Linked DNA regions of Tamandua tetradactyla. The protein of the gene in region 1 interacts with the protein of each later gene in a biochemical or structural test. Links are inferred from orthologs where the notes say so. Each region holds a gene or a part of one and is shown in the gene's direction. Other genes may lie near its edges.

Evidence for each region. The genes of interacting proteins can lie anywhere in the genome.
Region 2: the proteins of DOK1 (region 1) and FGR form a complex in vitro, tested with the Homo sapiens proteins (2 studies listed by BioGRID, with this or other methods). The link is inferred for Tamandua tetradactyla from reciprocal best matches to the Homo sapiens genes DOK1 and FGR.

The regions. Positions count from the first base shown.
Region 1 is NC_135343.1:48,440,642-48,447,574, forward strand, and holds the start of DOK1 (docking protein 1), read left to right. Parts: upstream 1-3,849; 5' UTR 3,850-4,317; coding exon 4,318-4,377; intron 4,378-4,712; coding exon 4,713-5,012; intron 5,013-5,178; coding exon 5,179-5,272; intron 5,273-5,504; coding exon 5,505-5,689; intron 5,690-5,905; coding exon 5,906-6,721; 3' UTR 6,722-6,933. Other genes in the region: LOXL3 (lysyl oxidase homolog 3), read right to left, coding at 1-86, 1,701-2,013. UniProt on the Homo sapiens protein: DOK proteins are enzymatically inert adaptor or scaffolding proteins. They provide a docking platform for the assembly of multimolecular signaling complexes. DOK1 appears to be a negative regulator of the insulin signaling pathway.
Region 2 is NC_135328.1:198,649,107-198,656,368, forward strand, and holds the start of FGR (tyrosine-protein kinase Fgr), read left to right. Parts: upstream 1-4,166; 5' UTR 4,167-4,346; intron 4,347-4,427; exon of another isoform or gene 4,428-4,524; intron 4,525-7,262. UniProt on the Homo sapiens protein: Non-receptor tyrosine-protein kinase that transmits signals from cell surface receptors devoid of kinase activity and contributes to the regulation of immune responses, including neutrophil, monocyte, macrophage and mast cell functions, cytoskeleton remodeling in response to extracellular stimuli, phagocytosis, cell adhesion and migration.

The DNA.
Region 1 (6,933 bases):
GTCACTGTTCCCCCAGCCCCGGGAGGCACATTCAGTCACACTCTGCTCTGTCCCTCTGCAATTTAGGTTGTCCAGCCAGATGCGGCCTGTAGTAGGGGAGATGAAGGGACTGAGAGAGGCTGAGGGAGATAGCAGGGGGGAGGGGTGGGGGTATTAGAAATACTGAGCCTGGGGGTTTCCCACCTGGCTGTGAAGATCCTATTTTTCTTTGAAGATGATGGGGTGGGGGGGGAGGGACAGGGAACCCTGCAACGAAATAGGCAAGGGGCACGCAGTTGCCAGAGAGTTGGTGGTGATCTGGGCCTACTCAAGAAATTAGTAGGGTGAATAAAAAACTGAGTCAACAGTGAAGTTCAGATCAGTCCTTACCAGGTCAATGATGACTACAATTAATCAAGTACCCAGTGAGTGTCAGACACTGCTAGGTTCTGTACATATATGATCACTCTAGGAACCGTGTTGCCAGGAAGACACCATCATCATTTTATATAAGGAAATGGAGGTTTAGACAAGTTAGGTAACTTGCTTAAGACCAACCACACAGCCAGTAGATGGGGGCAGGTGTTTGAGCCCAGTCTGTGAGGCTTGGAGATCTAAGATCCTTTTACTGGAGCCACACATCCTCCCACGTGCCTCCCTGCCTGTGCCACTATGCTGCCCCTTGTTCTTCTCAGGCTGGACCCCGCACTGAACAGCACTGATTTCCTCTCAGAATTGGACAGGACATCAAAGGTCGTCCGTCCCAGCCGGTGTGCAGAGACCCCTACGCACCCACTGATAGAGCTTGCTCAGCTTCTGCTGGATACCCTCCTCCCGCCCCACCTGGCTGCTACCCCCATCAGAGACTTCCTGGGACTGTTGATGACTCCCCCACTAGGTCTCAGTCCTTTGATGCCATCCAGAAAAATCGCTCAGTCACATCACTGCCCTGTTCAACTGAAGACAACCGTCTTGTAATTGTCATTGAAGGCTTTTTCTTTCCAGACCAAATGTCCCTGGTTTCTTCAGCTATTCCTCCTTAAAACTTGGCTGCCAAAAAAGTTATTTCCATTTTCTAGTGTCTCTCTTAAAATGTGGCACTCACAAGTAGACATTTTATTCCCGAAGTGGTCTAGCCAGTGGGTACTGGGGCATTGGCTGCTGGTTGCATTAGCTTCTGCCTATCAATCCCAGTGGGCCCAGACAGTCCAGGTATTCCCAGGTCTCACTCAAATTGCTCTTAACCCCCCTCCCCATACCTGTCTTAAGCCTCATGTTTGTCCTTATTCGGTTCCAATTTGTTGGTTTCAGCTCTGGCTTGTAACCTGATTTTGTAGCTGCAGTATGTATTTGTGATCCCTTCTGGCTTTGGGACATCCAGACATCATTTGCCGGCTTTCACCTTCCCACGGAACCAGCTGTACTGAAATACAGGGCTACCTGTATCTGGGCTTCCATGGCATGTGGCTTTGTAGACTCACACACTTTTGTGGCAGAAAGGAACTTAGAGATCATTTAGTCACTTTGCAACTGGGACATTTGAGGCTCAGAGAAAGCAACTGACAACCTAAAGTCACATGAACCTGGGAAGTGACTGTGTTGGCTTGTCATCCATAGGTTTTCTTGACATTGGGTGTTTTTGGTTCCCTGTGTCCCTCTCTGTGACTGTGCTATCTGATACTCCCTCTCCCTGCATTTAGGCCACTGGAAGCATTGCTCACCTGTTCCAGGGCCATATTTGGCACTGTGGGTCCAGCCTGTGGCCTCCGTGAAGCCCAGCTCCCGGCAGAGGATGTGGGCAGCCTGCAGTGTGAAGTCGTCATCACAGATGGTGCCCCACTCGCCGGCACGCTGTATTTCCACACGGCCCTCGTAGGGCTTCCTGGGGAAGCCAGCCAGCCGGAACCGTAGCCCCTCACTTCCGTCTCGTTTCTCGGGACCCATGGATGGGGAGGGAGACCCCAGACACGAGCAGCACAGCAGGCACAGCAGCAGACCCCATGAGCTCCACTGCCAGATGCTGACAGGTTGCATGGCAGAGAAGGCCTGCGTGCCCCAGAAAAAGAGAGAGAGAGAGAGGGAGGAAGAGAAACAGAGACTGAGCGAGGCCCAGAGTCAAAGATAGATGTCGTGAAAGAAAAACAGACCCTGAATAAGACCAAAGAGGGAGACAGAGAAACCGTGGTGAGAGAGGCTCAGGGACTGTGGGAGACAGTAAGAGGGACACACTCTAAATAAAAGCAGAGACACAGTCAAAGAGGAGTGACTAGGAGACTCAGATGGAGGGAGAGGGGAAGAGGGAGCAAACAGCTGCCCCCCCCACCCCGTGTAAATAATAAATCTTCACAATCAGTTGTAACGCTCCACTGTGCCTTTCCCTAGTTCTGCCATCATCACCTCCATTGCTCCCACCCCCCAGTTTGAGAGACCCAGAGGTCAAAAGAGTGATTGTTTTTTTAGAGACCAAGGGTCAGGGACAGGTCAAGATAAAGAGACGGAGTCTGAGCAAGAGACCCAGAGAGAGGAAGACCCAGACAGACAGGATGTGAGATGAAGGGAAACTGTGGGAATGCAAGGGAGACAAACAGAAAGAGGCAGCGGAAGAGAGAGACAGTGAAGACAGAAAGAATGTGACAGGGAGAGAGCTAGGCACACGGAGTTAGGGAGAAATAGGGAAAGGTACAGGCAGCTGTTAAGGGGGGAGCCAAAGAGCAGATGTGGGAGGAACCCAGATGACCCTATTCCGTCAGTCACACAGACTGACAGCCCTATTGATTGTGGAGAGAGGCAGGCCACTGGGGCCCAAGAGACCCTCTGGTCTCAGATCCCTTGAATGGCAGCGGAGCAGAGTCCCATCTGGGGAAGATGTGGTTGCAGGGAGGGCAGAGACCAGACCATCCAGGGAACTTCTGCACCTCTGCCCAGGCTCATGGGCTCTCAGATGTCCCATCAGGTCAGGGGGCCCAGGAGGGCCAGGCCTCACGCAGGGCAGAGATGGGGTGGGGTGGTCGGAGCCTCCAGCCAACACAACCTCCGGCCAACACCGCCTTCTCTGTCACCCGGCAACCAGAGGCCAGGGCGCGGATTTGCACGGCAGCCAAGGCCCTCTCTCCGTCTGGGGCCGTGAACAGACCCTCCACAGCCAGGGGGCCCCCAGAGCATGCTTCCCCCAACCCAGACAAACAACCCAACAAGACAGCTTTGTTCTGGGGACTTTGGCCAGGGGTAAGGCCTCACAGAGGAGCCCCCCAGCCTTAGAGCCCTCTCAGCTGCCTTATTTGGAACCCCTGCCCCCCACCATCTGCTTCTTCTCTCCACTTTTCTTGTATCTCCCCTTTGATAATAATAAAACCCTCCGTTGGTTGGCTTGTCCTTGACTCCAACCCACGCCACTCCTCTTCCCTGGTCCCTTCACCATCCTCTCCATCCTCAACTCCTCTTCCTTCAGCGGACAGCTTAACACCCCCTACCTTTGGCTGAGCGGGGCCTTAGGGGCTGGATGAAGAGTCCCGGTCCCGGGGTTCTGTCTTAAGACTTCCAAAAAAAAAAGTGCTCGGCCAGGGGAGGCCCCCCCCTCTCCGCTAGTCCCGCCCATGTCCCCTGGAGCCCGCCTACATTCCACCCTCTCCCGGGGTTCCTCCCTCGCTGGCCCCGCCTCGGCTTCCCTCGGCTCTCCCCTCCCCGCGGGACTGGCCGACGCCGCGCCCCAGCCCCAGCCTCCCGGTCGGCTCAAAGAAGCTTTCTTTACTCGCCGGTTGGACGCCGGGTAGCTGCGGTCAGGGATCTGGACACGCAAGCGGCCACGGGGCCACCGACAGCCCCCGGCAGCAGCCCGGTGGCGACGGGAGGCCCGGCTCGGCTCGGGGCTGTGGCTCGAAGCCTTCCAGCCCCGGCCCTGCCCCTCCGCCCCCAGCCCCGGCTCGGCCGAGCGTAAACAGCTCAGCTCGGGCCGGGTTAGGGTCGGGCCGGGGCAGGGAAACTGAGACCGGGAGGATGCCCGTGGCCCCTCCTGTGCCCCAGGGTGCCGGCGGCCACTTTCGGGGTGATGTCACGCCATCACTCTGATGTCATGAGGGGATCATAACGTCACACGCAGCTCCTACGCTCAGCCCGAGACCGCAAAATTTCTCATGGTAGAGCTACTTGTCCCCCACCCACCCAGGGCTATGGGTTGGGGCCCGGAAGTAGGGCGGCCGCCGGGTGTTTCTGGGGATCCCGTTTCCCGCTCGCTTCTCGCCCCCCTCCCCACGCGTGGTCCGCCCCGGGCGAGTCCGGCCCCGCCTCTTCCCCGCCTCCAGCCGGCGGGGCCAGGAAGCGCGGAAGGAACCGCCGGGGGCCATGGACGAGGCGGTGATGGAAGGGCCTCTGTTTTTGCAGAGTCAGCGTTTCGGGACCAAGGTAGTAGGGGCTGGGGACGCTAAACCCCAGCAGGGCTAGAGGTGGGCGAGAGGGCCCAGAAGGAGGGAGGGGTGGGCAGCGGGTTGGAGTGCGGCGCGGGGACCCGGAGAGTCCCGCGACGTTCCTCCGAAGTTGCTTTGCACACTCGGGAGAAGCGTCTGCGGGTCTCGGGCTACGCTTTCCCTCTTCCTGGGGAGCCGGAATGGCGATCTCCTAGGGAAACTTCTTGCCCAGTCGGGAAGCCCCAGAGCTGAGCCAGTGCCTCCTCTCCCGTTCGGCCAGCGGCCGCTCGAGATAAGCAGCGCACTCCTCAGAGTCTCGCGCTTTCTCCGCAGAGGTGGAAAAAGACCTGGGCCGTGCTCTACCCGGCCAGCCCCCACGGCGTAGCCCGGCTCGAGTTCTTTGACCACAAGGGGTCGGGCTCTGGAGGTGGCCGGGGGGGCTCGCGCCGCTTGGACTGCAAGGTAATCCGTCTGGCGGAGTGTGTGAGCGTGGCCCCCGTGGCTGTGGAGAGCCCCCCTGAGCCCGGCGCCGCCGCCTTCCGCCTGGACACCGCGCAGCGCTCCCACCTGCTGGCAGCTGACGCGCCGTCCAGCGCCGCCTGGGTGCAGACACTGTGCCGAAACGCCTTTCCGGTGAGGGGTTCCGGGGAGTGGGAAGGGGTCTGGGGCGAATGGCCCTGGGCCCAAGGGACGATGTGAGGCGGGGGGCAGGATGAGGGTCACGGCAGCAGAGGTCTCAGCTGGCTCAGACCCCGGGAGCCACGCTAGGGAGAGTCCTGGACACTCTTTCTTTACACAGAAAGGCAGCTGGGCTCCGACGCCTGCAGAAAATCTACCCAAGCTTTCTGCCTTGGAGATGCTGGAGAACTCTCTGTATAGCTCCTCCTGGGAAGGTAGAGGCTTGAGAAGCAAAAATGGGATCGCGAGAAGGGGTGACTTTGGAAAGGGGTTATTAGAGGGTTCCCGGACCCAGGGGGAAGGGGGAGAGCCCCGGAAGTCTGACTTGGAGTGAGTGCTTGGGCACTGTGCTCCCCAATACTTTCTGGTCTCTACACTCCCTGCACCAGCCCCCCAACCCCCAGTTCTGACCAGGTGCCCCTTGAATCTAATGGCTCTTCCTTTCAGGATCCCAGTTCTGGGTGACTGTGCAGAGGACTGAGGCTGCAGAGCGCTGTGGCCTGCACGGCTCCTATGTGCTGAGGGCTGAGGCTGAGAAGCTGACTCTCTTGACCCTGAGGTCTGGGAGCCAGAGCCTGGAGCCGCTCCTTTCCTGGCCTTACACTCTGCTCCGTCGCTATGGTCGAGACAAGGTGGGGGCGGGGAGGGGGCTATGGGGAAGGGCTTCTGGGGTTCCCCAGCTGAGGATGGGATGGGGCAGGACTGGAAGGAGGGAAACTCTGCCCCTTGGGCTCCTCCTACCTGGCCTACCCCTTGAGTCCACTCCCTCCCCAGGTAGTCTCTTTGATTCTCTAGCTACTTCAGGCCCTGAGACTCTGATGATGTGCTTCTCTCCATACCCTCTTCAGGTTATGTTCTCTTTTGAGGCCGGCCGCCGCTGCCCCTCTGGCCCTGGAACCTTCACCTTCCAGACGGCACAGGGAAATGACATTTTTCAGGCAGTTGAGACCGCCATCCATCAGCAGAAGGCCCAGGGAAGGGCTGGCCAGGGGCACGATGTTCTGAGTACTGATTCCCATGAAGGAGAGGGGACAGGGGGGCAGCTGGCTTCCCCTCCTGGTCCCAAGGAGCTCCTGGGAGGCCCCCCAGCCCTGTACGCTGAGCCCATGGACTCCCTGCGCATTCCTCCAGGCCCTTCCCGGGACTCCTTATACTCAGACCCCCTGGACAGCACCCTTGCTTGTGCTAGGGAGGGGGTACAGCTGAAGAAACCTACCCTCTACTGGGACTTGTACGAGCATGCGCAGCAGCAGTTGCTGAAGGCCAAGCTGAGGGACCCCAGAGAGGACCCCATCTATGATGAACCTGAGGGCCTGGCCCCAGCTCCTCCCCGGGGCCTTTATGACCTGCCGCAGGAGCCCAAGGATGCCTGGTGGTGCCAGGCTCGGGTGAAGGAGGAGGGCTATGAACTCCCTTACAACCCTGCCACTGACGACTATGCTGTGCCACCCCCTCGGAGCACCAAGCCCCTCCCAGCTCCCAAGTCCCAGCGCCCAGCCTTCCCTGAACTTGGTACTGAATTGGATAGTGGCACTACAGGCCACAGTTCAGACACTGCCCTGTATAGCAAGGTCCAGAAGAGTGGAGCCTCAGGGAGCTGGGACTGTGGGCTCTCTAGAGCAGGGAGCCACAGGACTGGGCTCAAGTCAGAGGGCTCCATATGAGAAGAAAGGCAATGCTGGGGAGTTGATAGGAAGACTATAGCAATCAAGAAACCAGTAGAAACTAGGGGCCTGATAGACCTGTGTTAGACCTGAAGGGTCAGGGTAGTGGGAAGGATCCCAAGAAGTCCTAAGAAGTGGGACAAATGATAGGGGGTGGGGGTGGAATCAGCACTCCTGACCTTCCCCTCCCCACAGGAATGGACAGCTGCTAG
Region 2 (7,262 bases), on another chromosome or scaffold:
TCTCTTTTAATACAGGTCATGCCCCATCCTGCCTTCTTTTTTTTTTAGGACAGCAACTTTTATAAGTGCCCAGGCTAATTATCTTGTAGAACATCCCCCACTGAGACCTTGTAGTGCCATTTAACTTATTCCTCTAATCCCTGCATTTCTTATAATTGGAAGGTAGTTATAGAGGAGGGGTTGGCAAACTTTTTCTGTAAAGGCCAGAGACTTAATACTTTTGGCTTTGCAAACCTTATAGTCACATTGCAACTACCTATTGTATCAGTATGTATCAGCATAACGGCAGCAATACCCAATGTGTAAATGGAGCATGACTATGTTCCAATAAAACTTTATTTATGCACACTGAAATCTGAATTCATCATAATTCGAACATGTCACGAAATAGTATTCTTCTTTTGAATTTTTTGCAATGATTTAAAAACGTTAAAGCCGTTCTTAGCTCATGGGTTGTTCAAAAACAGGCAGCCGGATAGATTTAGCCTGTAGTTTGCCAACTCCTGGTCAGAGACTTGATTGGATTTAGGCTAAATATTTATGGCAAGAATTTTCCATGGTAATATTGTGGGCTTCACAGCCATCATATGAGGAGGCACATACTGCCGATTGAGCACCAGCTGTGGGGTATCCACCAGGTCTCTCTATTGAAAAGGAACATTTTCTTCTTTACAAATAGCAAGTCATCTGTGTGGTATTACTTGGGCACTGTGAGAACATTCTGTTCCTTAAAGCCTTTCACCTGTGGTTTCAGCATCATTGACGATTCTTGTCTAAATCAATTATTTCACTGGGTTTGCAGAATTGAGTTTTTCAAATTCTATCTTTGGTAGGAAGCATTCTTCTACAAAGAACCTTCCATTATCAAGGAGGAATGAACCACCATTCCGCCTGAAAAAGGCAGGATAAATGCTTACTTTTCTAAGGGAAGGTTTCTTGTTTTGTTATTTTTGTTTTAAGTGAGAGATTCTAGTCTAGAACATGTTCATATGTTGAGCAGGTAATTCCATGGAGAGGGACAAGTGGATGGTGCAGGAGAGGTGATTACAGAAGGCATGAAGTCTTCAAGAAGGTGAGAGGGTTTAGAATCCAAGTGGAGAAGAAGTTGGGGAACATAAGAAAGGGTGTGAACTGTTCATCTGGGGAGAGATATAGGGACAGCTTACTAAGAGGAGTTCAGTTTAGGCTGTGACTTAATGAACCTGTCTCCCTGGGGTGTGATTTTCTCCTCCACACTGAGAGAAGTTGAATGGCAGGATTCCTGCAGGCCTGGAGTTTTCCAAGCAAGTTCAGTAGAGGCAGGAAGAGACAAGGAAAGACAAAATATTTGCAAAGGAAGACTGTAAAGACTGATGATGGAATCTAAGCTGGTTAAAAATAGGAGAGTGATGGCCTGATGGGAAAATGAATGGAAGATTCCAATGGGCTTGTGAGCTTTGGTTTTTGGTTTTGGTATCAGTTGTCAGATTTCTGTTAAAGGAGCATGTAATTATGGGGAATGATAGGAGACTTTGGCCAGAGAGTAGGGCGTTTGAACAGGCCACTCCTGTAGCCTCTTTGCACTGTATCCACCCATATTCTGTGCAAACAGGGAGCGTCTGAGGCCAAGGAATGAACCATATTCATATCTAAGCTTCCAACGCTCAGAAAAAGGCCTGACCCAGAATAGGTTTGAGTGAAGGTTTGAGGTCTGATCAATTGAATAAATGATAGCAAGCACATATATGTACTGAGCACTAGTCTAACACTTAGTGAATTCTCCCAAGACTCCTATAATGTGGGTTCTACTATTATCTCCATTTTACAGATGAGAAAACTGAGGCACAGAAAGGTGAAATAACTTCTCTAAGTTCACAGAGCTAGCAAGAGGCAGAGTTCACCTACAGCTGGGCAGTCTGGGCCCAGAGTCTATGTTTCTCACCACTAGGTTACTCTGAATGGATGGATGAGGGTCAGAGAATCCTCCTGTCCCTATTTCAAATGGTACAGATGTGTCCGGACGTCAGAGCCCTGATCTGGGCAAGGGAAGTTCAGGGACGGGAGGAGGTGGCCTAACCCCAGGAGACATCAGACAATAAGTAATAAGCAGAAATACATAATTCCAATCGCCATGAAGGAGACAAACAGGGTGCTGAGACCAAGAATGGAGGTGGCAGATCCTTAGATGGAGTCATCAGGGATGGCTTCTCTGAGGAGGTGACACTTTAGATAAAGGACAGAAAGGAGCCGGTATTATGAAGAGCAAGGAGAAGCATGTCTCAGAAAGTGGAAACAGCATGAGAGAAGGTTTTGAAGCTCAATGTAGTCTAGGAACTACACAGTGTAGCTGGAGAGGGAGCTGGCCCAAGGTGGGACTGGAGAGGTGGGCAGAGACCAGACAGAACCTGGGAAGCCGTGGGAAGGAGTTTAAGTTTAATTAAAATAAAAAAAAATTTATTGATATATAGTCACACACCAAATTTAATTATTTTTATCATTGTTTTATTTCATTTTTGTTATTCCAAGACAAATGGGAGATAAGCTATTGGAGGGACTATTTAATATTTGAGCAAGGGACTGAAGGTACATCTTACCTTCAATTATTTGCTCTTTCATTGGGCTTTCATCTGTTCACCCATTAATTCCTTTGTTCCTTGATGGATTCATGCATTCCTATGTCCAGAGAGCCTGCTGCTCTGGGCCAGCCACCGCATGGGCACTGGGGGCGCTGGAAAGAGCCAGACCCAGTCCTTGCCCTTGAGGAAAACACATCCCCACACATCCATTCCCCAAGAACTAGTCATACATACTGGTAGAAGGCACTGAGTGCCCTGTTGGAGAGGGGAACCGGAATCAGGGAAGGCCTCCTGGGGAGGCGCCTGTGAGTTAGACCTTGGAGGATGACAGAAGTAAATGAGAGCAACTGGGGGCTCTCCCAGGAGCAGGGACCAGTGTCTTTCACCGGTGCTCCCTAAGGCTGGCACCTGCCAGGGAATGCTAAATGTTTGTTAACTGAACATGTGGACCAAAGGCCAGCCAGGGAGTGCTGGATGGTGGAGATGATGCTGGCCAGCCAGCGCGAGACCACCCTTCCGAAGCCCCTGCCCCCCCACCCCAACCAGCTCCCTTGTGTCATCTTCCCCATCCCTCCTCCCGTTTCCCTACGAGAAAAGTACACCTACCTGCATCCCACTACTCTCTGCCACTCTGTGAGAACCCATCGCACAGACATCTGAGCCCACCCCCTCTCAGGCTTCTGAACCCTCCCCTGCCCGTACACAGAAACACACGATTCCGAAGAATACGCCCTGCGGTTGGTTCCAAAACTGCATCCATCGTGTTCATTGCCTACAATTGTACACACACGCATGCACATGCATATGCACATATACACGCTTCTGTGTTTACACACCCTCCCTTCCTTCCCACTGCATCCCAACACGTGCACACTTCTCCATCAAACAACCCTCCTCCCCATACATCTTCCTCCCCACCGGAAGAATTTTTTTCTAGGCCTTAGTTTAAGACTAAGGAAGTAACAGCTGTGGGAAGGGGAATTGACCCCCAAGTTGAGGAGGGGTCAGCGATCCCTACCAGCCTCAAAGGCTGATAGAAGATGGTCTCTGTTTCTCTAAGACTTGGGCAAGGGGAGGGCTGACACCCTTCCTCCTTCATTGTGACCCGAAGGCAAATTTTCTCTGAAATGTAGTTTCCCCAGGGAAGGTTCTTGGTCTACTCCCCAACCTCCCGCATCCCTGTGCCCCAGTGCCCAGGGCCCTGAAGGAGGCAAGGCAGGTGATGGACTCACAATGGCTCTTACATTTCCAGGTCAACTGGCTGTGAAAGTTTGGGTCAGACCTGTCTCCATCTGGGCCTCAATGGACAGAGAGGGCAGTGGGTTCAGTGATAGAGAAAAGTGCTTTCTAACCTCAAATCTAATGATTCTAAGAAAGCAGGTGCCTTGCGGGGGGGGGGGGGGGGGGGAGGGGTTCTTTGGGAAGGTGGTACTGGGGGCTTAGGCGGGGTGTGGGGTGGGGGACAGGGCTGGGGTGCTGGGAGAGGGCTGGGAGGGCCGATCCCTGGTCACCCCGGGGAGGTGGGAAGTGGGGCCGGGCGAGCCTAGGATCTGAGGGCCCCTTCCCCCCCCCCCCCCCCCCCCCCGCGCGGGCAGCTGGTTCGAGGCCGGGGCGTGACTGAGAGCTGTCCCCGCCGCCGCCGCCACCGCTGCGAGAAGAGAAGTCCGAAGCGGCTTCCTCCTCCCAGCCAGAGCCCGCGGCCGGCAGAGGCAAGCAGGACCCGGGTTCCGCCCCCGCGTCGGCCTCGCTGCGGCCGGGAGCCCCGCTGGATCGCCCCGGGGACGGGCACAGGTAGGCAGGTGGGGGGCTGGGAGGCGCAGCGCCGTGCCCCGCCCCCGGCCCGGCCCGGCCCGGCGACAGGGGCCTGGGGGAGCGAGCCTGGGAGCCTTAGGGTGGACAGCTGAAGAGACTTGGACCAAGAGGCTCCCGCTCAGAGAAGGGTCTGGGAAGAACTCAGGAGACCTGGAGAGTGAGACTGGATGCAAGTTGTGGAGGGGAACAGGGGAGGATTAAGAGGGTTCCCCAAAAAGGTCTGCTGGGGAAAGGGAAGGGGACCTGTGGAGTAAGTTTGATCGAAATTGGAAAAAGGGCTAAGAGAGTCGGGGCATGGGGAGTAAGGGGACCTCCCCAAAAATGGTCTGGAGGAGAACTGAAGGGACCTTGAGAGTGAGAATTTGTGGGGAAACTGAGGAGTCTAGGGAAGGGGAGCTAGGCGGGGGGACTGGAAGGGTCAGGTGAGGCAGTTTGCAGGAAAGAAGGGTCAAGGAGAACCATTTCTGGGGGACTCAGAATGTATGACGCAATTGTGGGGGCCCAGGAGATCCCCGATCGCCAACTGACAGAAGCCCGGGGTGAAGCCTGTGGCTTGGGGGGGGGTGGGGGGGCAGGCGGCCAGGAACGAAGCTCCCCCTCCCCCTAGACTCTCCCTCCCCGCCGGGTGGGAGGACCCGGGCCAGCGAGGAGACGCCTCTAGGCTCTAGAGGCGCGGGTCCCCTCTTCCTGGGGAAGTCCCCGCCCTCGGCAAGTCAGGCCTCTCTGGGTACCCGCCCCCCCGCAGTGGCGGGCTCTGTCCGCGTTCCCCTCGGGATCCGGGAATTGCTGGCCGCCCCGACGGAAATCCTGCCTTTGACCGTGATTGCCCGGAGGGGCTGTCTCCATGGCAACGCCAGGGAGGAGAGGCAGAGCCGGGCTCTTGGCAAATGCTGGTCTCCTTACTGGAGCAGCCCCTTCTGTCCTCATCACCTCCTGACTTCTGGGACCCCAGGCAGGGGCCGTTCGCCGGACAGAGGAGTGAGGCCCTGATGCACATCGTTCAGGGATCCTTCAGGGAAAACCTGCAGAGACCTGGGTTCTTAGCTAGTCTGGGCCTTTCTTTCATTGCTGTGTGACTTTGGGCAAGTTACCGGGCTCCTCTGGGCCTCACTTTCTGCATTTGAACAGTGGGGAGAAATGATCTCTGCCCCTATCCCCTATACCTGAATCTGTGTGAATCGGGTACAGAAATCAGTTTGGCTGAGTGTCCTGGGGAGCTTACAGGCCCTCGCTGACCCAGCTAGCCTCTCCTGCGCCTTCTCGACGGCACAGAGGGGGCCAGGAAGCCTGGGTCTCACTGATAGGGCCCCCAGGCACCAGCACACAGTTAGTATCTTATAAATAAGTAAGTGTCTGTGCATGTGTGGAGGGCCCACCGTGCGGAGTCACTGGGGGTGAGATCTGCCCCCACACCCAGCCAGCCTTCCCCTGGGTCATGGAGTCTCTCAGGGATCCCGAGGCCCTTGGCATCCTTCAGTCTGGTGGTGGGTGGGAGAGCAAGGCCCTGTTCCAACTTCACAGATGGGAAGATGGAAATTTGGGAGGCAGCGAACGACAGGGCCAGCCATTGGGAGTGGACTCCAGGGCCTCTTTCGCTTGTGACAAAGGGGTTCCCACCTAATCCCTGCCAAGTCCCATGTAGCCCTCTGGAGAGGGGTAGGGGTGGACACGGGAGTGGGCGCAGGGGGCTGTGTGTATCGGTGCTCTCTCCTGCTTTCCAGGGGGCGAGAAGCTGTGAGTGAGGGCGTGAGGGTGTGAGGGTGTGAATTTGATTCGGGCTCTGAGCAAATGAGCATGAGCATGTGAGTGAGCCCGTGTGGGTGTTTAGGAGTTCTCAGCAGCCACCTGGGGCCAATGAGGCAAAGGAAGTGGTCAGACCCTGGGGGGTGGGCTGAGCAGGAGACCCCAGAGTTGGGGAAGGAGGTGCCAGGGTCCTTCCTGAACAGAGCGGACAGGGAAGGGTGCCCCCCCCCCCCCCCAGGACTCGCAAGGGGACTTCCTTTCTGGCCACAATGTGGAATCTAAACTCTCATCTCCTCAGCTTCCCCAGAACATCCATGGGCTCCCATCTCCTGTGAATTCTGAGTCCCAGGCCAGGTGGGAGCTGAACTCAGACTCCTGTTTTAGAGGCTGGTGGGTTTTCAGAGACAGATGGGAAACCACTTTTACTCCCAAGTAGAGAAAACTCAGCTGGTACCTTCAGGACCATGTGGAGGAAAAAGCTGGTGTGGCACGTATCTGCCACCCCCACTCCCCACCCCCATCACATGCACCTGGCCCCACTAGGGTAGTAAAGTCAGAGTAGGGCCTTTCTGCTAGGGCCCGTGAGTGTTTGGGGTGGGGTGCCGGTGGGGGTGGGTGCTGTGAGGCCTCCAGAAAAGATAGTGTTCAATAAGAGGGATGGAGGTTCAGTGAGAGGTGGCGACCTTAATAAGAGGGATAAGGGCTCAGAAAGGGCCTGGGGTTCAGTGAGGAGTGGTGAGAGAACCCTTCCTTCATCAGGTCAGGTCTTAGTGAGGGGTGGGGCACAGAGGGGCTGGGGGTGGCCTGCAGATCTTAGAATTGCTTCCTGCCCCTCCAACCCTGGCCTGCCTCCTGCCCAGCCCAGAACCCTGAGGAGAAGCCGGAACTCTTGCAGGATGGTGGTTTCCTGCCACTGCCCCAAGTCCCAGTTCCCTTTTGGTGAAATCCCCCAGGCAGCTAAGCCAACTCAGCCCTCCCCACTGCACCCTGGGAACTTCTCTTTCTTCTCAGCCCGGCCCCACAGGCCATCCCCTCCACCCTGCCTTGGAGGGGTCTTGTTTAGGGAAAGGAAGGGAAGTAAAAGTTCATTGAGCACCTATGTGGGGCCTGGTACTTTCAGAGGCTTGGCTGCACTTCATGCTCAGAAGCAAC